Saccharomyces cerevisiae S288C: one gene and its partner. Each later gene encodes a partner of the first gene's protein in a complex. Links are inferred from orthologs where the notes say so. Each region holds a gene or a part of one and is shown on either strand. Other genes may lie near its edges.

Evidence for each region.
Region 2: the proteins of GAL80 (region 1) and GAL4 are in contact, whole or in part, in a crystal structure (PDB 3E1K), measured with the Kluyveromyces lactis proteins. The link is inferred for Saccharomyces cerevisiae S288C from one-to-one orthologs. Residues at the interface, in XP_451363.1 of Kluyveromyces lactis: Trp31, Lys34, Asn182, Gly184, Trp185, Pro191, Asp309, Ala310, Gly311, Phe312, Ser316, Asn317, Val319, Tyr321, Val368, His370, Arg372, Asn373, Ser376, Val377; in XP_453627.1 of Kluyveromyces lactis: Leu847, Phe848, Asn849, Thr850, Thr851, Thr852, Met853, Val856, Tyr857, Tyr859.

What each region holds. Positions count from the first base shown.
Region 1 is NC_001145.3:166,314-177,246, forward strand, and holds GAL80 (transcription regulator GAL80), read left to right. Parts: upstream 1-5,280; coding exon 5,281-6,588; downstream 6,589-10,933. Other genes in the region: CYB2 (L-lactate dehydrogenase (cytochrome)), read right to left, coding at 1-995; YML054C-A (uncharacterized protein), read right to left, coding at 1,310-1,468; YML053C (uncharacterized protein), read right to left, coding at 2,803-3,441; SUR7 (Sur7p), read left to right, coding at 4,089-4,997; AIM32 (Aim32p), read left to right, coding at 6,826-7,761; U2 snRNP complex subunit RSE1, read right to left, coding at 7,907-10,933. UniProt on the Saccharomyces cerevisiae protein: This protein is a negative regulator for the gene expression of the lactose/galactose metabolic genes. It binds to GAL4 and so blocks transcriptional activation by it, in the absence of an inducing sugar.
Region 2 is NC_001148.4:74,690-87,210, forward strand, and holds GAL4 (galactose-responsive transcription factor GAL4), read right to left. Parts: upstream 7,668-12,521; coding exon 5,022-7,667; downstream 1-5,021. Other genes in the region: ATG41 (Atg41p), read right to left, coding at 1-30; 60S ribosomal protein eL36 RPL36B, read right to left, coding at 1,010-1,296, 1,535-1,550; GTPase-activating protein GYP5, read right to left, coding at 1,980-4,664; YPL247C (uncharacterized protein), read right to left, coding at 7,936-9,507; putative rhomboid protease RBD2, read right to left, coding at 9,820-10,608; YPL245W (uncharacterized protein), read left to right, coding at 10,897-12,261; UDP-galactose transporter HUT1, read right to left, coding at 12,325-12,521. UniProt on the Saccharomyces cerevisiae protein: This protein is a positive regulator for the gene expression of the galactose-induced genes such as GAL1, GAL2, GAL7, GAL10, and MEL1 which code for the enzymes used to convert galactose to glucose.

The DNA of each region.
Region 1 (10,933 bases):
TGGTACCATTGAATTTGTTTATCAGAGGGTGCTGCTTCAATAATTTCCTCAGGGGAACATGAAGCCAAAGTAGATATCATTTGTGGGACTTTTGTCACACCTTGGCCACAACCTCTGGCGACATCTTTTTCACCTTCTAAGGGGTTTCCCAGTTTACACAAAGCTGTAGCAGACACGTAGAAGGGAACATCCACATGAGAACCCAACATGTCAGTTGAAATGTCTACTTTGCGTACATCTACAAGGATCTTTGGTTTGAAAAAAATCCTATGATAAGCATTATGGTTTTCTCTGTGAGTAACTTCGTCGTTAGCACCGGAGGAATAGTAGGCCCACGCTTGTTTAGTCAAAGTTTGAGAGGCCAAGTATTCAAAGTCGTAAAGGTTAATAATATTATCTAGAGGAGGTAGCAGCGATTTTAGTTGTTCTTTTCTAGCGATATCTTCCTTAGTTTCACCAGGAGCATAAGGAGGACAGACAAGTTCAGGAGGCATGGATCCTTGAAGGGGACCCAATTTTTTCTCGGGAGCTATATACTTATCGATGACATTAGGAGCATGTAGTGGTTCAAAAATAGCAGTGACATCTTTCCCGGCGTTAAACTTGATAACATCCTGCCCACCTGGATGATTTGGTAGGAATCGCGTTAAGTCGTATACGTAACCATTGATCACAACCCAACAATCATCGGGCTTGTTATGCTTGGCAACTTCAGCGGGCGAAATCTTTTGTTTATTCATATCCAGTTTCGGCTCGTTGTCTATTTGGCCATTATGCCAGTTTAGATACGCCACGGAACTAGTAGCGGCTAGAATTGCACCGACTCTCAAGGCAGTCCATGACTGTGTGCGTTTTCTTGAGTCTTGTTCGAACGACTTGGATTTTGGAACGGTAGAACCGTACGCGCGGATTGTGTTCAATCTAGTCTTAGACGCTCTGAGGATAGCAGCCTCACAGTTCTTCGAGATTTTTAGTAAAGGTTTGTATTTTAGCATTGACTACTTTTGTTTGCTTTCTTCTCTATGCGGGAACTGTATTAGCGACATAGGATGTAAGAATACGAAAAGATGCAAGAAGATTAGTCGACCAGGTACTTATATATTCACATACTCCAACTGAAAGTATTGGAGATCTAAGGTTCAGCAGTTGGTTCTTGGCGGTTCTTGTATGACATTATTATTGGTCGGGTCGTAGTTCTCTCGAACAGGAGGAGGGGGCAAGGAGATATCGGCAGGCTTTTTGCTAGCGCCTTGTTTGAAAAGCGTGGGGGTAGGTCTCCAAGCGATTATTGAGGAAGTAGTTTCAAGTATTACAGAGTCCAGGGCACAAGGGTCTTCATTATAGAGAGAGAATTTTCGTGAAAAAAATGGGCAGAATGCCACATGTTAGCAATGCAACGACTTGAGTGGGGGGTGATCCTTCCGATGTATGCGTGAAAGATCTCGTGTTGTGCAGGAAAGGGAATCATTTCGGAAAAAAAAGATGCAACAAGGAGGATGGCATGTGGATACTACGTTCTTGCGTAATATCCTTTTTGTTGCCTGTGTTAATACGTGAGCAACATTTTTTGTTAAAGTAGGCGATCAACTATTGCCCCCTGATATTGGTAGTAATTCTGCTAAAATATCGGCTGAGAAATGGTGATTCTCAAATAATTGCTGGGATTCCACTGGATATGGCCCCATTCTTAGATATATGGAACGTAGTAGAAGGCCTCTTAGAGGCTATGGGAGTCTCTCAAGAGAAAATCGACATTTTTACGTAATCATTCGTTCATTTCACTTTATACGTCATGATTCAATATCGTATTACTTTATCAAGTACCCGCGTTTAAACTTCATTAAATGACTGCGTCTCAATCTTTATGTCATCCTCCCTCCGCAAGTGACAATGTACTGGTAAAATAAAAACTAACTAACTAGATGATATTTTTAGAGTTTTATTCCAACGTTTCTCAATAGGCGATGGAGGAACAGAGTGAATATAAGAGGCTCTGTGGATTTATGGTTACCGGATTTATTTCGTAAATTCTTATTGAAGAATGGGTGAATTTTGAGATAATCGTTGGGATTCCATTTTTAATAAGGCAATAATATTAGGTATGTAGAATGTACTAGAAGTTCTCCTCGAGGATTTAGGAATCCATAAAAGGGAATCTGCAATTCTACACAATTCTATAAATATTATTATCATCATTTTATATGTTAATATTCATTGATCCTATTACATTATCAATCCTTGCGTTTCAGCTTCCACTAATTTAGATGACTATTTCTCATCATTTGCGTCATCTTCTAACACCGTATATGATAATATACTAGTAACGTAAATACTAGTTAGTAGATGATAGTTGATTTTTATTCCAACACTTATATTCTATATATCCATAACATTGTCTACATATAATCCGAGAGGTTACGACAACATTCATATAATAAGGGTAGTACTGACACTTTATTTTGAAGTAAATCAAAATAGTCACTCTCGGTAGCCAAGTTGGTTTAAGGCGCAAGACTGTAATTTACCACTACGAAATCTTGAGATCGGGCGTTCGACTCGCCCCCGGGAGATATTTTTTTTCCCTTTTTCTCCAGGCCTAGTGAGGTTTGAGTTTTGAACGTTTTATAGATAGATGTAAGGTAGCCAGAATGAGCACTTAGCCTTTAAAGTAAATTGAGTAGAGATACGTAAACAGTCGTGATAAATATGTAATACATTGTATTATTTTAAATAGGTTAAATTTTCTTTTTTTTTTTTCCATTTCATTTTCATTTTCATTTCCTGCAGTTATTTTTTTTCTTATTAATCTATATCCATGTAATCGTTAGCGATATTGTTGTTAGTCAACGCGGCCATGGCAGTACCGGGTGCTTGTGATGCAATTATACTTTGGGATGGTAGAAGATGATACTGGTGTTGTATAATACTAGCACTTCCAGTAGGACTCGTGCCTGTTATGTCGCGATTAGTGTTACCGAAATAACCATGAATCATGTACTCTTCTGTTTCAGAATAAAATTCAGATTCGTTCAGTAAGCGGCTGTTCATAGTGTGGTGCATACTAACCGGTTTCAGGGGACATATTTCGATATTTTTTTTATAATGAATATTATTGTAGGTTGCAGTATTATTGCTGTTATTATGATTATGGTTATTATTATTATTATTGTTGTTGTTGTTGTTGTTGATGATGATGTTGTTGTTGTTGTTATTAAGATTAGCACACCCGGAACCGACCGAAAACTTTGTACTTACAGAATCTCGTTTTGTTCTCTTCGATCTTTGGTAGAAAGTGTGTGTATCAAACTCGAAATGGTCATTTTTTCTTTTATTCATGATCGTATCATTATTGGCGTCGCTGTTGTATGTAGTGGCGGCATTGCTACCGGAATTGCAATTGTTTGTTTGGAACGCAGTATTGTGTTCATAGTATGAGAGCATTTCACGCAGCACACTTGAGTCTTAAATTAATGAATAAAAGCAGCCAACCCCAAGAAAAAAGAGCCCTTATCTGTTTCTGTCGCAGTCCTATTGTATTCTTCCTAACTATATAATTTTGTCAAAATGAAAAATATAAAAAAAATAATAAAGTCAGCTGAGTGGTAAAGAGAAAGCAAAGGGAGAGAAAAATCGGTTACCCAGATGGATTAGGTTACCCAGATGTCATACGTGTATCATGATTTCTAGAAATTATTACCCTGTTTGGTACCATGACAACGGATATGGCAATCTTGCATTAAGTAAAATGTCTCTAATGGGACCGTGAAGGTACAAAACAGCAATGGTCTAGGTAGTGGCATTCGAAGCTTCGAAAGCGTGGCCTCGCCTCGAGCGTGAAGTCATATTTTCTCACTCTGCACTGCCGTGCTGTGCCATGTAGCCCACTGTATGCCTCTAGCACCCCAATCGGGAAAATTGTAAACATTAGCAGGTGTCGCCTCGAGGCCCCCGATACATTTTTCAACATCTCCTCGATACTTAAACAGCAAACAAACAAGCAACACCCACGCAAGAAGATTTATTAATACCTCTTGACTCCCGTAGATATTGAAGAGACTAAGTATAGTAACGCATATCCGCACAATACTATGGTTAAGGTCTGGAATATAGTACTACGTCTGGTAGTGTTGCTGTTTTTAGCAGGTAATACCTTGCTGTTAATTTTGATGATTATATCTGGTGCCACGGACCATTACCCCGTGAACAGATTCTATTGGGTGCAGGGCAATACAACAGGCATACCTAATGCTGGGGATGAAACACGTTGGACGTTTTGGGGCGCCTGTCTACAGGATAAAGACGGGTCGGATACCTGCACAAGCAATTTGGCACCTGCATACCCCATTTCCCCAGTAGATAACTTCAACACACACATCAATGTCCCTCACCAGTTTATTTCCAAAAGAGACGCTTTTTACTACCTGACTAGATTTTCATTTTGTTTCTTTTGGATTGCGCTTGCCTTTGTAGGTGTGTCGTTTATCCTTTACGTTTTGACTTGGTGCTCGAAGATGCTTTCAGAGATGGTGCTTATCCTCATGTCTTTTGGGTTTGTCTTCAATACGGCAGCCGTTGTCTTGCAAACGGCCGCCTCTGCCATGGCAAAGAATGCTTTCCATGACGATCATCGTAGTGCCCAATTGGGTGCCTCTATGATGGGTATGGCTTGGGCAAGTGTCTTTTTATGTATCGTGGAATTTATCCTGCTGGTCTTCTGGTCTGTTAGGGCAAGGTTGGCCTCTACTTACTCCATCGACAATTCAAGATACAGAACCTCCTCCAGATGGAATCCCTTCCATAGAGAGAAGGAGCAAGCAACTGACCCAATATTGACTGCCACTGGACCTGAAGACATGCAACAAAGTGCAAGCATAGTGGGGCCTTCTTCCAATGCTAATCCGGTCACTGCCACTGCTGCTACGGAAAACCAACCTAAAGGTATTAACTTCTTCACTATAAGAAAATCACACGAGCGCCCGGACGATGTCTCTGTTTAAATGGCGCAAGTTTTCCGCTTTGTAATATATATTTATACCCCTTTCTTCTCTCCCCTGCAATATAATAGTTTAATTCTAATATTAATAATATCCTATATTTTCTTCATTTACCGGCGCACTCTCGCCCGAACGACCTCAAAATGTCTGCTACATTCATAATAACCAAAAGCTCATAACTTTTTTTTTTGAACCTGAATATATATACATCACATATCACTGCTGGTCCTTGCCGACCAGCGTATACAATCTCGATAGTTGGTTTCCCGTTCTTTCCACTCCCGTCATGGACTACAACAAGAGATCTTCGGTCTCAACCGTGCCTAATGCAGCTCCCATAAGAGTCGGATTCGTCGGTCTCAACGCAGCCAAAGGATGGGCAATCAAGACACATTACCCCGCCATACTGCAACTATCGTCACAATTTCAAATCACTGCCTTATACAGTCCAAAAATTGAGACTTCTATTGCCACCATTCAGCGTCTAAAATTGAGTAATGCCACTGCTTTTCCCACTTTAGAGTCATTTGCATCATCTTCCACTATAGATATGATAGTGATAGCTATCCAAGTGGCCAGCCATTATGAAGTTGTTATGCCTCTCTTGGAATTCTCCAAAAATAATCCGAACCTCAAGTATCTTTTCGTAGAATGGGCCCTTGCATGTTCACTAGATCAAGCCGAATCCATTTATAAGGCTGCTGCTGAACGTGGGGTTCAAACCATCATCTCTTTACAAGGTCGTAAATCACCATATATTTTGAGAGCAAAAGAATTAATATCTCAAGGCTATATCGGCGACATTAATTCGATCGAGATTGCTGGAAATGGCGGTTGGTACGGCTACGAAAGGCCTGTTAAATCACCAAAATACATCTATGAAATCGGGAACGGTGTAGATCTGGTAACCACAACATTTGGTCACACAATCGATATTTTACAATACATGACAAGTTCGTACTTTTCCAGGATAAATGCAATGGTTTTCAATAATATTCCAGAGCAAGAGCTGATAGATGAGCGTGGTAACCGATTGGGCCAGCGAGTCCCAAAGACAGTACCGGATCATCTTTTATTCCAAGGCACATTGTTAAATGGCAATGTTCCAGTGTCATGCAGTTTCAAAGGTGGCAAACCTACCAAAAAATTTACCAAAAATTTGGTCATTGACATTCACGGTACCAAGGGAGATTTGAAACTTGAAGGCGATGCCGGCTTCGCAGAAATTTCAAATCTGGTCCTTTACTACAGTGGAACTAGAGCAAACGACTTCCCGCTAGCCAATGGACAACAAGCTCCTTTAGACCCGGGGTATGATGCAGGTAAAGAAATCATGGAAGTATATCATTTACGAAATTATAATGCCATTGTGGGTAATATTCATCGACTGTATCAATCTATCTCTGACTTCCACTTCAATACAAAGAAAATTCCTGAATTACCCTCACAATTTGTAATGCAAGGTTTCGATTTCGAAGGCTTTCCCACCTTGATGGATGCTCTGATATTACACAGGTTAATCGAGAGCGTTTATAAAAGTAACATGATGGGCTCCACATTAAACGTTAGCAATATCTCGCATTATAGTTTATAAAAGCATCTTGCCCTGTGCTTGGCCCCCAGTGCAGCGAACGTTATAAAAACGAATACTGAGTATATATCTATGTAAAACAACCATATCATTTCTTGTTCTGAACTTTGTTTACCTAACTAGTTTTAAATTTCCCTTTTTCGTGCATGCGGGTGTTCTTATTTATTAGCATACTACATTTGAAATATCAAATTTCCTTAGTAGAAAAGTGAGAGAAGGTGCACTGACACAAAAAATAAAATGCTACGTATAACTGTCAAAACTTTGCAGCAGCGGGCATCCTTCCATCATAGCTTCAAACATATTAGCGTTCCTGATCTTCATACCCGTGCTCAAAATGATCAAACAAACTGTTATTGCCAAGAAATAAACGCAAGGCTGCCTTCAAAAACTGATCCATTAGATCCTCATATCAAGCTTCCTCATAGAACGCCCAATTACAATAAGCATGTTTTGCTGTTATCACCGGGTGATAGGTTTGCTCAACCATGGAAGGTAGCATGGAATCATAATTTGGATACTAATACAAATCGGCCATATAATGCCATTAGTAAATTGCGCTCCCATTTAGGTGGTTCTCCAGGAATACTAATAAATGCGGTGCATTTGCAAAATGAATTTATTCCAAGGCCAAAACAACACGATGAATGGCTTTATTTTTTTGTTATTCCTGACATGAAGCTTTATGTAATTAAGGAAACGGACATCGAGGAATTTGCATCTTTTTTAGATGAAGGAGCTATTCAAGCACCAAAGCTATCCTTCCAGGATTATTTAAGCGGTAAGGCCAAGGCTTCCCAACAGGTTCATGAAGTGCATCATAGAAAGCTTACAAGGTTTCAGGGTGAAACTTTTCTAAGAGATTGGAACTTAGTCTGTGGGCATTATAAGAGAGATGCTAAGTGTGGAGAAATGGGACCCGACATAATTGCAGCATTTCAAGATGAAAAGCTTTTTCCTGAGAATAATCTAGCCTTAATTTCTCATATTGGGGGTCATATTTTTGCTGGTAATGTCATTTTCTATAAACTATTCGGCAGAGAAAAGATGCAAAACAAGCTGGATTCATTATGGTTTGGTAAAGTTTACCCACACAACTTGAAGCTGTTATGTGAAAACTTGGAAAACGGTAAAATCATCGACGAAATGTACAGAGGTGGCATATCGATGAATTAAAACGGTTTCCTTTTAAAACAGAAATAAAGATGAGGTGAAATTTTATATTTCTTATATTTAAAGCTATCATATATTCCTTGTACATATATTTATTAAGAAAATACATTAACACGCCTTTATACTTGGTATTATTACTGTAAAATCATTACATGTAATTTGTTCTGACTTCGTTGATTGTTTGAATTATATCCTCCACTTGTACACTCTTTAAATTTTTGGCCAAAAATTCCTGCTCATTCAAGGAAAGTCTCAGGAAATTTTCACATAAATCACCATCAATAACTTTACGTACAGGGGCATAATAGCTTCTGTATTCTTGGTGGTCTCTACCTAAAATGGAACAGGAACCCTCACATATTATTTCATCCTCTATACCATGCCGTCCTTGTAACACAACACTTCCAGATTCCTCTTCATCGTCTTCCTTACGCATATTGTTATTCTTCTTTCTTGATTCATAATCTAAATAAAACGTATCATCCGCCTCAGCCATTATATTCTCAATGTTTCCCATCATAAAAACATTCCCCTTGGATAATAAGGGGATAAAGCATCCCACGGTTCCTTGTAAGCCCATATAGATACAACCAGGTCTATCAGAATTTGAAAGGCTGTCCAGGATATGGAAATCAGTGATGATATCATTAACAAAGAAGTGGTTCAGTAGTTGAAACTTGAACTTGCAATCATAAGTATTGGGTAATTTCTGCTGTAAAGTGATGACGTCTAGTGGGTACTTGATGGCCCCATTAGATAATTCGCTGGGATCATGATTTGACATGATTTTTTCGCACTCTGGTGGAGACCTTAAAGTCCACGCATTTCCATATCTATCAGCGCCTATAACAGTTGCCTCATCTAGAAATTTCAATACCGTCACATGGCGTTTTACAGAGTCATCTACGTACGGAATAAATACATTCCCCGCAGGATCCCAGATAAATAAAGTGACAGATTCATGTATATCACCAACGGCCAGTCTTTCATAATTCCACTGGTGCATAGACACAATTTTTGTTATGGATACCGGGGTCTGTGTTACGGACCTTCTTAATAATTGCTTTTTCCCCAAACCATAAAGGACAATAGTGGAGCCCATGGCTGTCAGCAAGAAGTTTTTAAACTTCAACATAGCATGTATTGGTGAAATGATTTCTGTTTGGTGAAGTAATTCAATATCAAAAGATAGTTTATCTTTGTTAACTAATATCTTGTATGTTAACAGCCTTTTGTCGCCAGCACAAATGATCAAATGATCAGCTTGTCTTGTGAAATCTATTATAGCAGCGGAAACGCAATCGATATCGTCCAGTATCTTGTATAAATGATCCGAACTGCCAAACTTTAAGCATTCACCATCAATTTGCAGTGATATACGGCATTGTTTCTTACCACTGTGATTATCAATAAACAAAATGCTTTTCGGATTATTGGGAAATGATAAAATAGTACGAGGTCGGAATGTAGATATTTGTAACATTTCCATTTCTTCTTCCATTTCATCTTCTTCCTCTTCATTGCTTTCATCTCCTCCACCGTTCTCTTGCTTGTTAACACTTGATTCATGAACGTGAAACCAGTTATCCAAAGTTGGAAAGTTGGAAACTCTGCCAATATTTAAGCGTCCTGAGCTCGATATTGAACAAACACCGTTGATTGCAACATCTGCGTTAACAAATTTGGAACAACTTAGCATGTTTTGATCCTTTAACTGCCGTATGGTCCACACATTTTTCCACGTGTAGCTTACCCATGTAGAAGAGGAATGGCAAACCACGCATGACATCCATTTAGCTCCACTACTATTTATTTCTTCTTCTTCTTTTTCATCATCATCGTCTTCTTCTTCTTCTTCTTCTTCCTCATTATTTAGTGATACAGATATCTCACGCAAATACGAAAGGGAAACAGGCTTCAAGCCAAGGAATCGCCTTTTTATGTCAGTGAACGATCCGTCAACATCCCCTATATGAAATTTCATGTAAACGCCATTTTCTAAACCTACATGCAAATTAAGCTGTCCTATTGAGGAATCTCTAACCATTATCATGTCAGAAATCTTTTCACTAACTAATTGCAAACTTATTACAGTTAAAAAATCTTCCTTTTGGTCTTTAAGAGACATTATTTTGATCATACCCTCATTGTCAGCAATGGCTAATAAATCAGCATGCTGCGTATCTTGCACAATCGCAACTTTAGAGGGCATTGTGTCCAATTCTGGGTGGGTGGTTAATTCGATTAACGAATCCGAAGATACATCTATCTTGAAATAAACCAATTCGTAATTTGATAATGATATAATTAGTTGTGTTTTCGAGGACGTGGCACATACAATACGAATTCCCGCTGGTGGCACCCAAGTCAGCTTATTAGAATACCTAGATTTACCAGTCGGTACGATATGTCTTAGTTCTGCGGTGCATACTTGGATAATAGAGTGTGAGCCCATTAGGCATGTATGAATTGTTGTGTCCTGAGAGAGCTTGAAAGCTGAACGCGTTGCTTCATCCGGTGTTAGTTCCTCCATGGACTCGTTGTCAATTTGTAGTATCATAGTTTTCTTGGGAAAAGTTATGAACAAAAGAGTATTGTTATCGCCGGTTGTTGCAGGATCGGGTATTAGCCATAACTTGGTTGCGTTCGGGGGTAAACTAGTAGATATCAAATTAGAGTAATTCACAGCATTTGTTAAAGTTATTATCTTGTTGTTTGTAAAATGTTTAGTGGCGATAGACAGTGGCGAATCACTGACAATTTGAGATTTTATTGAAGGGTTCAAATTCAATTGTTGCGATAATATGCTCAAATTCTGCAACTTTATGGATGGTTCGAAAACTAGCGACTTATTTGGATCTTTTGAGGTTAAAACATTAGAAAAATCATTTTTCTCTACACCAAGTTTCTCAAACTGGAAAAGAAAGTTGTTATTCATTTCAGATAGTGCAAAAAGATAACCGTTTTTGAAAATGTGTAATTGGTGTGAATTTTGGATTGTATCAAAGTAGGACAATTGAACTAAAGGTCTATTTCTATCATTAGTGTCTGGACTTACAGTTAACTTAAAAAGATCGCCATGGTTAGATTGTAAAAGTACGAAAAAATCATTTTTCAATTTCTGCACTATGCCTGATATGATTGTTACATTTTTATGACGGCTATTTGTGATAGA
Region 2 (12,521 bases), on another chromosome or scaffold:
CGAGATGGGGGAAGATTCCACAGAGGACATTGTAAATAATTGTAATTGTATATTATTGTGTGTAAGTTTGGTTGGTTTGGTGTAGCCAATTTAGTTTGGTTTTCTCAAGAATAAAACAAGTAAGAAAGAAAGAGAGTTGCTCCAGACCCTTTCCGAAATCAAGATGAGTCCTGTTCTTATATATACCTTTTTACGCAGAGCCGCTTCTTTATGCACCGTGGAGTAATTACCGAATTGCAAAACCACCCGGGTGTGGATGTGGATGCAAAATAACAGTGAAATGAGTAATAACAATGGTCATAAACATGTGGTGTGCAATGTGTCATCTTCGCGCGCGTGCTAAAAAAAACGAATAACGGTGGTGATCCCGCGGCTTTCCACACTGACGGGGTCACGTGTGTTTATTCTGTTTTCTTCTAACGGCTTCTGTAGATTTCCGGACGGTTCCACGCAGCGCCACAGCTTGGTTCCAGATCGACGGAAGAGAACGTGCAACCCTTTGGGCTGGTTATGAAACAACGCAGATGGAGAATATGGCTCACAACCCCAAGGGACTTCTTGGTTTGGTTTTGTTTACAGTTTTTTGCTTGGCAAAGGTGCCATCGTTTGTCATGATAGCATGACGGTAGCAGGCATCATTGATTTTGCAACTGTTGCGGACCAGGACAGTGGGTATGGTGTAACTTCTGTAACACACCCACAAATGTGGTTGAGTCTCTAATGGAGATGAGTGAGTGGGCGAGCCAGGATAGGGTCTTTGGCATGTGCGGTGCTTACCCGGAAGGGAGATGCGCACGTGACTGTTGAAAAAGGGAAAAGCAGAGGTAATGAATGACGAAGTCGGTTCATTGCATGTGCTGTTACACTTCTTAAATAGATATCGATTAAGAATTACTATAATGATTTGTTACTTATTTTTTATTAACTAGCTTTGGGGGAGAGCCATGGAAAATAGCACTCGGTCTTGTGGCGGAGTTGGATTTGCTTGACTGTGGCCCCCTCACGCTGTTTAATGACGACGAGAGGCAGCAATGATGTTGTTCATTTCTTCGACCTTAGCCTTGGCTCTGGTGAAAGAACCCAATCTCTTCTTGGCGACCTTTCTGGCTCTCTTTTCACCGGAGTTTCTGATCAAATCGATCAATCTTCTTTCATATGGGGACAAACCGGCGATTTCTCTAACCAAAGATCTGACGAACTTGGTTCTGTTGGAGGCAGCACCCTTCTTGTAGGAGATCTTTGGGGCTGGAGTCATTTGGGTGACTTTCTTACCCTTGTTCAAACCAATAGCGATACCTAGAGGAAAAAAATAGAATATCTTATGTTAGTAACAAGCACACTAGTACTCACGTAGTATACGAGCAAAATAAATAAACAAAGACTCCACGGAGTACTGCAACGCTGGGTGCAGGATATAAACGATGTTTGCATATCTCTGGAGCTTAATCTCATCCTGTTTGTATTTCTGTTGTTGGCTTAGTGGTTCAGTTCATTTTGCTTTTGCTCTACAGTTCATTAGTTCAGGTAAACATACCAGTCTTGACAGCCATTTTGTATTATCCTTGCTTCTCTATTCTGTTTTGACTATGGTAATACACGAACTTAAGACTTAACGCTAATTAAAACGAATATTCAAGAAATGCAATGATGTGCCTCTTCCTCTGCCTCTCTCTCTCTCTCTCTCCTAGTGCATTCATGCTAGCTTCCCTCGTCGGGCTTCCCTGAACAGCCTTGGTTGGCAACCCAATGAAAAAGTTCCGCGCACGCGGTATGTGCGTCTTTCGCAACCAGACCTCTCGGTCATGGTCGTCTCCCGCACGGTAAAGCGGAAACAAAAACCCAACACATCCGTGGATGTACGGGTGAAAATACAGTCAAAAAAAAAACAACAACAACAACATTGTCTAAACGAGTCGTGATGCATTTTTTAACACAAATTGGAGAGGCACACAATGTGCACACAGCGCAAAACTATACATCTATTTAAAAACTTTTTTAAAACCAGTCCAGCCTTTCCTCCCTTTAGCCTTAGAATCTCGTTCCAATAACGATGCCGTGGACACTTGCTCCTTATTGATGTTAATCAACTCATCGATTTCCGCTTGCAGTTCAGTGATTCTTTCCTCTAATTGGCCGTTCTCCCTCATCACCTCATTGTTCCTGGATATGGTCCTTTCCAAGTCTTCTCTCAGATCTGCCTTTGGTAGTGACGCGTCCGGGTTCGGTAAATTTTGCTTGCGAATCTCTTCCTCAATTTGGCTTTTGATATCAGTGATTGTATTTATCAGGTCGTTTTTTTCATCCAACAGCATCTCCATATTCAATCTGTTCTGAATCAGCTCGTTAGCGGCGCTGATATTCTCTTTGTTCAAAATTGAATAGTCGTGTTCTAGCTTCTGCGCCTCTCTTTGTAGTTGGTGGTTTTGAATTCTTAGTGATTCGTAGTGGTCCTCTTTTTTTTGCTCTTTTTCATGGATTTCTACGTACTCTCCCCTGTATCTTCTTAATGTTAATGGTGTGATATATACACCTGTCATTGCATCATGAACGAAAAGATCGACATTGTAGGAAAAAGTGCCGTCATCATTGCCCTTAAATGAGTTCCCATTTGACAATCCCATTTGCACTACAGAAGCGTCATCCTGGTTTCCCATTAAATAGTAATTGAAGAGTTCGTCCTTTAAAAAATCCAATAGTTCATCGAATCTCAATTTTACTAAAGTTTCTTCATTCTTTAACATTAAATTTACAGCAAACTTCAAAAGCACTTCAATACCCTCTACGAATACAATATCAAAAATTCTTAACACAAACTCTAACGGAAACTTGTATGCGAAAAATGTCAAAAACCATTGTGTAGCGTACATTGTGGAGCTAATTCCCTCACGGATCAAGCGATTGTACAAAGAAGGTGAATGCTCCTCTAATAATCTATCAAATTGATAAAGCATTAACATCAGCCCAGGCATTCCTGGTAAGAAAAGCTCTCTTAATCCATAATTCTTCATTAATCCAACGAGTAGTCCAAAAGATTCGGCCTCGTTTTCACAGTTTATTAATAGCGGCGCTGCAATGAACCCCATGCCTTGCGTGTACCCAACATCTGGATCATAAACAGAATACACCTTTATTACCTTGTATAGTGACTCCATTTTGTCCTCGGCCACAAACTTCGTTCTCCTTAAATCTCTACGTATTGTTGCTTCATGAAGACATTCGGTATCCAATAGAGTTTCATATATATCTTCCATTTCTCTTGATTTGGAATTCGCCATCAGCTGCCAAATGATACCTCGAATTTGTGGTGGTATCCCATTGGTAACATGGGCTTCTAAATTTTCTGGTTCGTTGCTTGCCACTGTAGCATAATCATTAACTACTTGAGTCCAGAAGGACCAATCAATTTTAAACATTTCTCTATCTTCTTCATTAACATTCTCCACTTCGTTATACTCGGACAAGTTCTCCAGAAATGACGTAAATGTCGATTTTAAAAAGCTTTGACCTTCCTGCAACGACTCTCTAGTTTCTTCCCCCTCTTTATTCAAATGGTGACTGGTCTTGCGGTAACGACTAGCGATCAAATTAATTTCTGCAGTGGACTCTAATTGCGCAGTTTTGGAACCAGTGAGAGGAACATGATGATAACTATTTCTTTTAGTTTCTTCGAAGTTTTTACGGAACTTCTCTGACTTCATTTCTTCCTCTAGTGGCGGTGGAACAGCATTCTTCGTCTTCGGTGGTTGTTCCCTTTGTTTGCCCCTTGGAGGTAATTTTGGTGACGTTGATGTCGCAACATTTTGTCTAGGTGGTAATGGTGGCGAAGATGTAGTGGGAATTGCGGAAACCTCGTTCTCGCTTGAGTTATCACCTTTTTCATTTATGATTTGTGTGGGTATAGGTGGTACTTTCCTAGCAGTTTCTGAGGAAAGATTCTCTGCTGTTACGGGCCCATCTTCTATAGCAGCTTTTTGTTCCTTGTTTTCATTCAAGTTTATTCCTGCGGCTACCTCATTGGTAATATGAATCTGGTTATTATCATTTTCTGACGACCTTTCTGGGGTTACTTCACTACTTATAGAAATGTCGTTCGCATTTGCAGCTGTCGTAGTACCAGATTCGTCATCGAGAAATTTACTCGAGGATGATTTCTCACCTCCAGAATTTTTTCCAGTTACTTCCCTATTTTCTGGACTACTAACAACCTCTTTCGTATCAGCGTAAACCTTCTCATTCTCTTTGACTGCATCATATTCTTTTTCAATATTCAGCCCATTTGGGGCTTGCACATCCGTTGTCACATCTTTTTCAACATCCAATGGCTCATTTAAATCAATTTCAGAACTAGGTTCTCTCGTTTCTTGCCTTTGTTCATTAACGTTTTGTTCAGTGATTTGGGTGTCTTCATCACCAGAGATCCCAATAGGTTCTTCTCTTGATACATTTGTGGGTGCTTCATGGCCTAAACTTTGTTGCTTGTCATTTAGTTCTTTGTCCGAATGGAGGGGCTCAGTTGGAATTATAGCTATCTCTTCATATTGGTCTGATGGCGTTGATTTTATCTCTTCCTCCATTGAACCCAAATTATTCGAATGATTATCACCTTCGTGAACTTCAGAGGCGATCGTATCTGTATTTTTCTCAATAGATTTGTCTGAAGACATTGCTCTATTAACGTTCTACTTTACACTGGTGGTAGGAGCTGTTTTATTTTGAGTATTAACTAATCAATCTCAATTACGTTCGATCCAAACCCTTTTTTTTCGTTATATGAGCGAAGCTTCTGAATAAGCCCTCGTAATATATTTTCATGAAGAATTTAGGTCCAAAAAAAAGATGGGCATTAATTCTAGTCATTTAAAAAATTCTATAGATCAGAGGTTACATGGCCAAGATTGAAACTTAGAGGAGTATAGTTACATAAAAGAAGGCAAAACGATGTATAAATGAAAGAAATTGAGATGGTGCACGATGCACAGTTGAAGTGAACTTGCGGGGTTTTTCAGTATCTACGATTCATTTTACTCTTTTTTTGGGTTTGGTGGGGTATCTTCATCATCGAATAGATAGTTATATACATCATCCATTGTAGTGGTATTAAACATCCCTGTAGTGATTCCAAACGCGTTATACGCAGTTTGGTCCGTCCAACCAGGTGACAGTGGTTTTGAATTATTACCATCATCAATTTTACTAGCCGTGATTTCATTATTCATGAAGTTATCATGAACGTTAGAGGAGGCAATTGGTTGTGAAAGCGCTTGAGAATTTGTTTGAGTTGTTATGAGGTTCGGACCGTTGCTACTGTTAGTGAAAGTGAAGGACAATGAGCTATCAGCAATATTCCCACTTTGATTAAAATTGGCGCCACCAAACAAAGCAGACGGGGTCAGTGGCACTAATGATTGCAGCTGTTGCTGTTGCCCTAGAAAAGGCGTGACTGAGCGATGCGAAGGTGTGCTTCTTGGTATTGTCACTGGAGAGTTACGAGAGGGTGGACGGTTAGATAACAGCTTGACTAGATCACTGAAACTTGCTCCTGATTTCAATGGCACAGGTGAAGGCCCTACTGAGCCAGGAGAAACATATTTAACACTGATATTGTTGACATTTTCCTCCGGAAGAGTAGGGTATTGGGCGATAGTTGCAGAACCGACAATATTTTTAATGGCGCTACCATTACTATTGTTATAACTGATATGCGGTAATGGGATTGCACACTGTGATAACAGAAACGGCGCACATACCTCTTCCAGTACTTGAATGTATTTTTCACAAGTCTGGATTTTAAAAGTGGCCAGTTTTTTTAATAGCATCAGAACAGTGTTAATTTGTTGTAATAATTGTGCGGTCTCGTTATTCTCAGCATTCGATTTTGAGTTTGAGAGTAGAGTCTTTATGGGTACTAGGACTGCATTGAACAAGTAATAAGAACAATTCCAGGCAAAATATGGGGTGACATTATGATTGTCCATATAGCTACTTACAGACATAACAGTTCTTTGTGCTGCATCGCTTAACATGATGGAGCATCGTTTAACTTCATAACTTTGATGATCATTTTGATCCTGTTCTAGTTGTGACTTTTTCTGGGTAAAATTAGTGAAAAAATCTCTTAATACATAAATGATAAGAGACAACTGTTTCCACTTCAGTTCGAATCTTGTAAAGGATAGCCAAGGGTGTTCCTTCAACAAATTGGTTAGAGCGGTGGTGGAAATATCCATTTGTAAAAACTTTGGTGCCTGTCTCGAAACCTCCTCAATCTCATTACAAATCATCAAGCATTTTTTTGCACATATAGGACTTTTTTCTGCAGTTACTGTTTTGTCTAGTTCATAGATTTTTGTGAAAACTTGTAAGAGCCTTGCTGTTTCAATGATGCCATGATATATGGTGGGACCTGTTGTGGTACGCTGCACATCGTCGACAGAAGAAGGGAAGGAGATTGTATTCTGAGAAAGCTGGATGGATCGACCATAAAGCAGGGACAATTGGATCTCCCAAGAGTAGACAGACCACCAAATTCGGCGTCTTTGTTCCAGAATGCTGCTATCACTGAAGGACGAGGGGAGGTCCCTATTCAAGCCCAATGATATGGCCATTCTTATGGAAAAGCTGTGAAAATTATAGCTAGTATTTGTTTTCTGCCTCCACTGTGTATATCGCGACAGAAGATGTAGGGCTGTCACCAAAATTATGGAACCTGACTCGAAGACCTTGCTCGTCAAATGAGATTTAGCATTTTGATAGTAAAAAACATCTATATCAGTAGATTCCCCCTCTATACACCAGGCTCCAATGGCTAATATGCAGTTAAAAAGGATTTGCCATTGATCCTTCGACGCGATTTCAATCTGGTTATTATACAACATCATTAGCGTCGGTGAGTGCACGATAGGGCAGTAGGGGTGAAAATTATTGAGATAACTTTGAAGTAAACGGGATGTTGTGGATCTAGAAGCCAACGTGTATCTATCCGTAATCATGGTCGGGAGCCTGTTAACGTTAGAGTTCGTGTAATTTTCCGGTTTAAAGCCAATAGATCGAAGAATACATAAGAGAGAACCGTCGCCAAAGAACCCATTATTGTTGGGGTCCGTTTTCAGGAAGGGCAAGCCATCCGACATGTCATCCTCTTCAGACCAATCAAATCCATGAAGAGCATCCCTGGGCATAAAATCCAACGGAATTGTGGAGTTATCATGATGAGCTGCCGAGTCAATCGATACAGTCAACTGTCTTTGACCTTTGTTACTACTCTCTTCCGATGATGATGTCGCACTTATTCTATGCTGTCTCAATGTTAGAGGCATATCAGTCTCCACTGAAGCCAATCTATCTGTGACGGCATCTTTATTCACATTATCTTGTACAAATAATCCTGTTAACAATGCTTTTATATCCTGTAAAGAATCCATTTTCAAAATCATGTCAAGGTCTTCTCGAGGAAAAATCAGTAGAAATAGCTGTTCCAGTCTTTCTAGCCTTGATTCCACTTCTGTCAGATGTGCCCTAGTCAGCGGAGACCTTTTGGTTTTGGGAGAGTAGCGACACTCCCAGTTGTTCTTCAGACACTTGGCGCACTTCGGTTTTTCTTTGGAGCACTTGAGCTTTTTAAGTCGGCAAATATCGCATGCTTGTTCGATAGAAGACAGTAGCTTCATCTTTCAGGAGGCTTGCTTCTCTGTCCTCTCTTAAAATGATGGCGTGCATTACGTAGACACAATCTGGAGATGAAGCTGAAAATCTGGGGAAGGATGACGGAAAAAATAGCTCATAAAACAGAAAAAGGCCCGAAGTAACAATAGGAAAAATTAATTGCACTAAACAAAGAAAACGATATTATGGTGATTAAACTGATACAGAATTATGTAAATACTTTGAAATTATAGAAGGTTTGTAGAATAAAAAAAATACTGGGCGAATGCTGTCTCAAAGGACGCGGACGTTTTGAAACTTCTTGCCGCTCACGCACCCAAACCAATCGCCCCTCTGGGGCCTCCATGCAATGTTGTTTATCTCTTGTGTTTTATTGGCATACATCATGTTAGGAGTCTCTAGTGTCTTGCACACCTGCTTGCTGTTGTTGTTTAAACTTAAGGGATCCTCGTTTAAACCGGATCCTGCGCCACCGTCTGTCATCTCTGTGTCGCCGTCAGGGTCCTCCAAGGAAGTTCCATGAATACTGGGGGATTTGCTACCTGCAGCGTTAATTTCCATAAAGGAGCTGTTCAAGTCCCAATAGAGCACCTGGCAGTCATCTCCGCACGAGAGCAAAACATTGCGCTTTGTGGGATGCCATTTAATCCCGTTTACCGAAGAACCGTGGCCTTGTAAGTTTAGTATAGGGGATTCTGGGTTCCTCATATCTAGAATAATGATTTTGTTCGAGTCAGCTGCAAAAGTGGCCAACACATTTGGGTCATACGGTGATGGCTCCAGCCTCAATAAGGCGTCCGAACCTTTCGACGACGGTGTTATAGTACCCGCAGTGGCTCCAGACACTGAGGAAGAGGGAGGCTCGTAAATAATTGTACTGTGCGCAAGCGATCTTAAATCAAATACTCGTACACTACCGTCCCCACCACAACTAGCAAATAATTGGGTCGATTTTGTCAAAAACCTTACATCAAAAACTTCGCTGTCGTGAGCGATCAATTGGGTCTTAACGTAGTGACTGCTTTGCAGATCCCATACAATGCATGTGGTGTCGATGGAACTTGAGATTATCAAGTTAGTATCGACCGTGTTCCAGTCAAATGATGTTATTGGTGGGAAAGTGCCTATGACCTTCATGTCATCTGCGGCCGCGGGATTGGCGGGGTGCTGTCTATTGTATTTACACAGAGATAGATTTATTTGTTCTTGGAACTGTCTTTCCTCAGGGCTAACGCTCCAAATCCGTAAGGAGTCAGAACACGTCGCGAGTTTCCTTGGATACAATTGAGAGGGGACCCATTGGATTTTGCTCACAGGATAAACCACATCTGCGTCCACTACGCTTTCCCAGCTCAGTAGATCATTAGAGTGCAGAACCTGCAACTTATTTCTGCTGTCCTCTTTGTACGAACCCAAGCAGACGTAGTCGTCGGCGCTCCAATCGAGCCCAAAGAGTGGATAGTGTGATTGATATTCGCACACGGAGGCCATGGAAGGGTTCATCAGATTGCTTACAACCGGAATATTTGCAGCATAGCCCCTCGCCTGCTGTAACTGAGAATGATTTGGTGAAAAAACTGGTGGCGAGAAATCTAACGGTGAATACATCGGCGATCGACTTGCATAGTACGTGGCACTTAGGTCACAGCCACTATTCCTTTTGCTGTTACCGCCATTGGTAGTGTTGCCAGACATTCCAAAGGGAGATGGGCCTCTACCTTGATCTTGTGCCGCCGAGGAAGGCCCATTAGTACCACTCAAGTAATTGTTCTTGTTATATGGCTGCCGCTGCGATGAGCCAAACGATATTGAGCTCCTTTTATTGCCATTGTGAAAGGGATCCATTTGAAGGGCGTGTATTTGCTCCTATAATTCCTTTCCTTCTTGTTGTCTGTTGACCCTTTAGGTTGTATGCCACTCTCGAAAACCTAAAGAACTGATTACTAAATTATTTATACAAGATTTCAGATGACAAGATGGTTCACCCCTTGCCCCTGGTCTTCCTCCCAGTAATTATTCATATTCCATTTTTTTTCATAAACGCACGCTAAGGAAAAAGAAGAGACTGAAAATTCTTGCATATTAGAATATAAAATGATATATACTACATTTATATACATCCTTAAACTGTGAAAGAAAGAATAGCGATACAAATGTCTAGGCAGTCCCTAGGACAGTGCCGGAGTTGTCATTGTGGAGAGGCAATGGTGTTTCTGTGGACATTAACGGTTCGTAATCTTTAGTTCTGTCGATATCCTCATCTCTGTAATACTTAATTCCCCAAGGTATTAATCGAATTAAACCGTCTAAACTTTTTTCGATTTTGGTGATGATCCATCCTGGTGGAGTGATCTTGTTAAACCACGATTCCTTGTAGCCTATGGCGTAACCGACACATAAGCCGAAAAAATGACCCCAGAAACTGGAGCCAGGTATAACGACGGCAATTGCGACTAATAGTACTAGGGGTGTATATAATGTCGGAATTGAGTAGTCTGTGCGAAAGATCCTTGTTCTAGGGCGGATCTGTGATTCTTTAAAACTATAGTATGCGAATAAGGTGAAACACCACCCACTGGCGCCTGCAACTAATGCTTCTGGATATAGCAACTTACCCAACAAACAGTACAGAATTCCGGCAAATAGAGCACTCAGGTTCAAAAAAACACCTGTGTACACAGTCCCATGCGTTTCTTCGAAGAGATTCAAGGGTGCCCAGATGGCTAGCACATTGAACAGTAAATGAGGCAATGATAGGTGAATTAAAGGATAAAGCGATAGCCTGCTCATTTGCAGTTTGAACAATGACTCTGGCGCCAACGACAGGTCTTCCCTTAGGGCAAAAATAAAACTTAACAGGTAAATAGCGGTTAGAAATACCACAAGGCCTGTGGTCAACGCAGCTGGTGGATGACCACCGGGAAAAACGTACGACTTCCAATTCATAGCACGACCAAATAGCACAACCTAACAACCAGAGTGAATTGCTGTTCTCAGTGCTTCCAATTAAGCCTTTCCCATCCCCCTATTCTTCTTGTATCGATGCAGTTCAAAAAAAAAAAAAAAAAGAGGCTTTAGATCTCAAAGGGCCGAAAAAAGTGAAAAATTTTCTCGAGAAATCATAAAAGCAGCCATCGCCATATATAAACAATCTATGCATATGTATGCAGCATGGCATCGCATCTTTCTTGGCGACCCGGTAGTAGCATTTAACTTCCATTAGAACCATATAAAATGCATGGGCCTACTTCAAAAGCTATTTCCCGCAATGTGAGAAGCGTGAAGAGACCAAGAAGAGCACCTAGGCCCGTGGTCTCCACGCAGGCTATGAACAAGTTGTCTAACGTAACACTCTCTGCTGAACAAGAAAAGTTGAGAGAGCGCGTTTTGTCGTTCATGCGTTCCAACTTATCTCAGTACAAGTCTGACTGGAAACATCCGGCCATGTTTGTAATCCAAGGGGACGCAGGTACAGGCAAGTCTGTGATTCTAAACTCCTTGTTCAATGAAATTCAGAAACTATCCCAGTTCTCACCTTCTTCTGAAGATATCTTACATGGGACACATAATTATCTGGTAGTCAACCATCCCGAGATGTTAAAGTTATATATCCGGATTAGTGACAGTTTCAAATATATTTCTAAATCGTCACTAGAACGGCCCACTTCGTTGATCAACAATCTACAGAAGAGAAAAGTCATGGCCGATGTAGTCATTGTAGATGAAGCACATTTGTTGGCCACTTCTAAGGATGCTTTCAAAAGATTTTATGGCGAAAACCATCTCAAAGACTTAATGTCCCTTTGTAAAGTGCTTGTATTGGTTTACGATGATAAGCAAGCTTTAAGAATGGGTTCCTATTGGGATGAAGGTTCTAATAACGGTGCCACTTTAAAGGACTTTTACAACGAGATTCCACCAAAATCCAGAGACTGGTACACTTTAAAACAGCAGTTTAGGGTTGCTGCCCCACAAAACGTGTTGAACTGGATTGACCAAATTAGTGTCGCAGGTAAAATCCCACCAATTGAATCTGTGCTATCTAAGGGCAATGCAGATTGTGCTGACGATAAAATTAAGAATTTTGATTTCAAAATTTGGGATGATTGTGGCGCCATGTACGAGGCAATCAAGGAGAAAGACCGTCAATACGGCCAATGTAGGATGCTATCTACTTACGATTTTCCCTATCGCTTGGACGGAAAAGACTATTACGTTGAATGTGGTGACAATTTCAAAGTTCGCTGGGATCGCTATACTCCACGTGAAGTGACGCCTTGGAGTGAGCGTTGCGACACGATTGATGAGGTAGGTAGTGTGTATACTATCCAAGGGTTTGATCTGAATTATGCTGGTGTAATTTTGGGCCGTTCCATTGGGTATGATGCGGCTAATGACTGCATCAAACTAAGACCAGAGCTGTATGACGATAGGGCCGGTTTCACCAAAAAGAAAAACATTCACAATGCAGAGGACGTTAAGCAAAAGATTATTATGAATAGCATTAATGTCCTCTTAACTCGTGGCGTGCGTGGTCTGTATGTTTATGCATACGATCCTGAATTAAGAGAGAGACTGCTTCGTCCATCAAAAAAATAGGAAGTACATAGTATAGACAAATTTTATAAATATTAACTTTTATTTGTTGCGATCTTCACTAATCTACGCAGATTTTGCCTTCGGTATATTAGCCTTCTTCTTGTTGAGTGCTTCCCAAGTGATTCCACCAAATACTATAAACATCCCCACCCATTGCTGGAAACGTACACTCTTACCGAAGACAATAATACTCAAAATCATCGAGACCATTTTCCTGGTGACTGTTATCATGATCAAAACTAAAGAGCCAAATTGTTCTA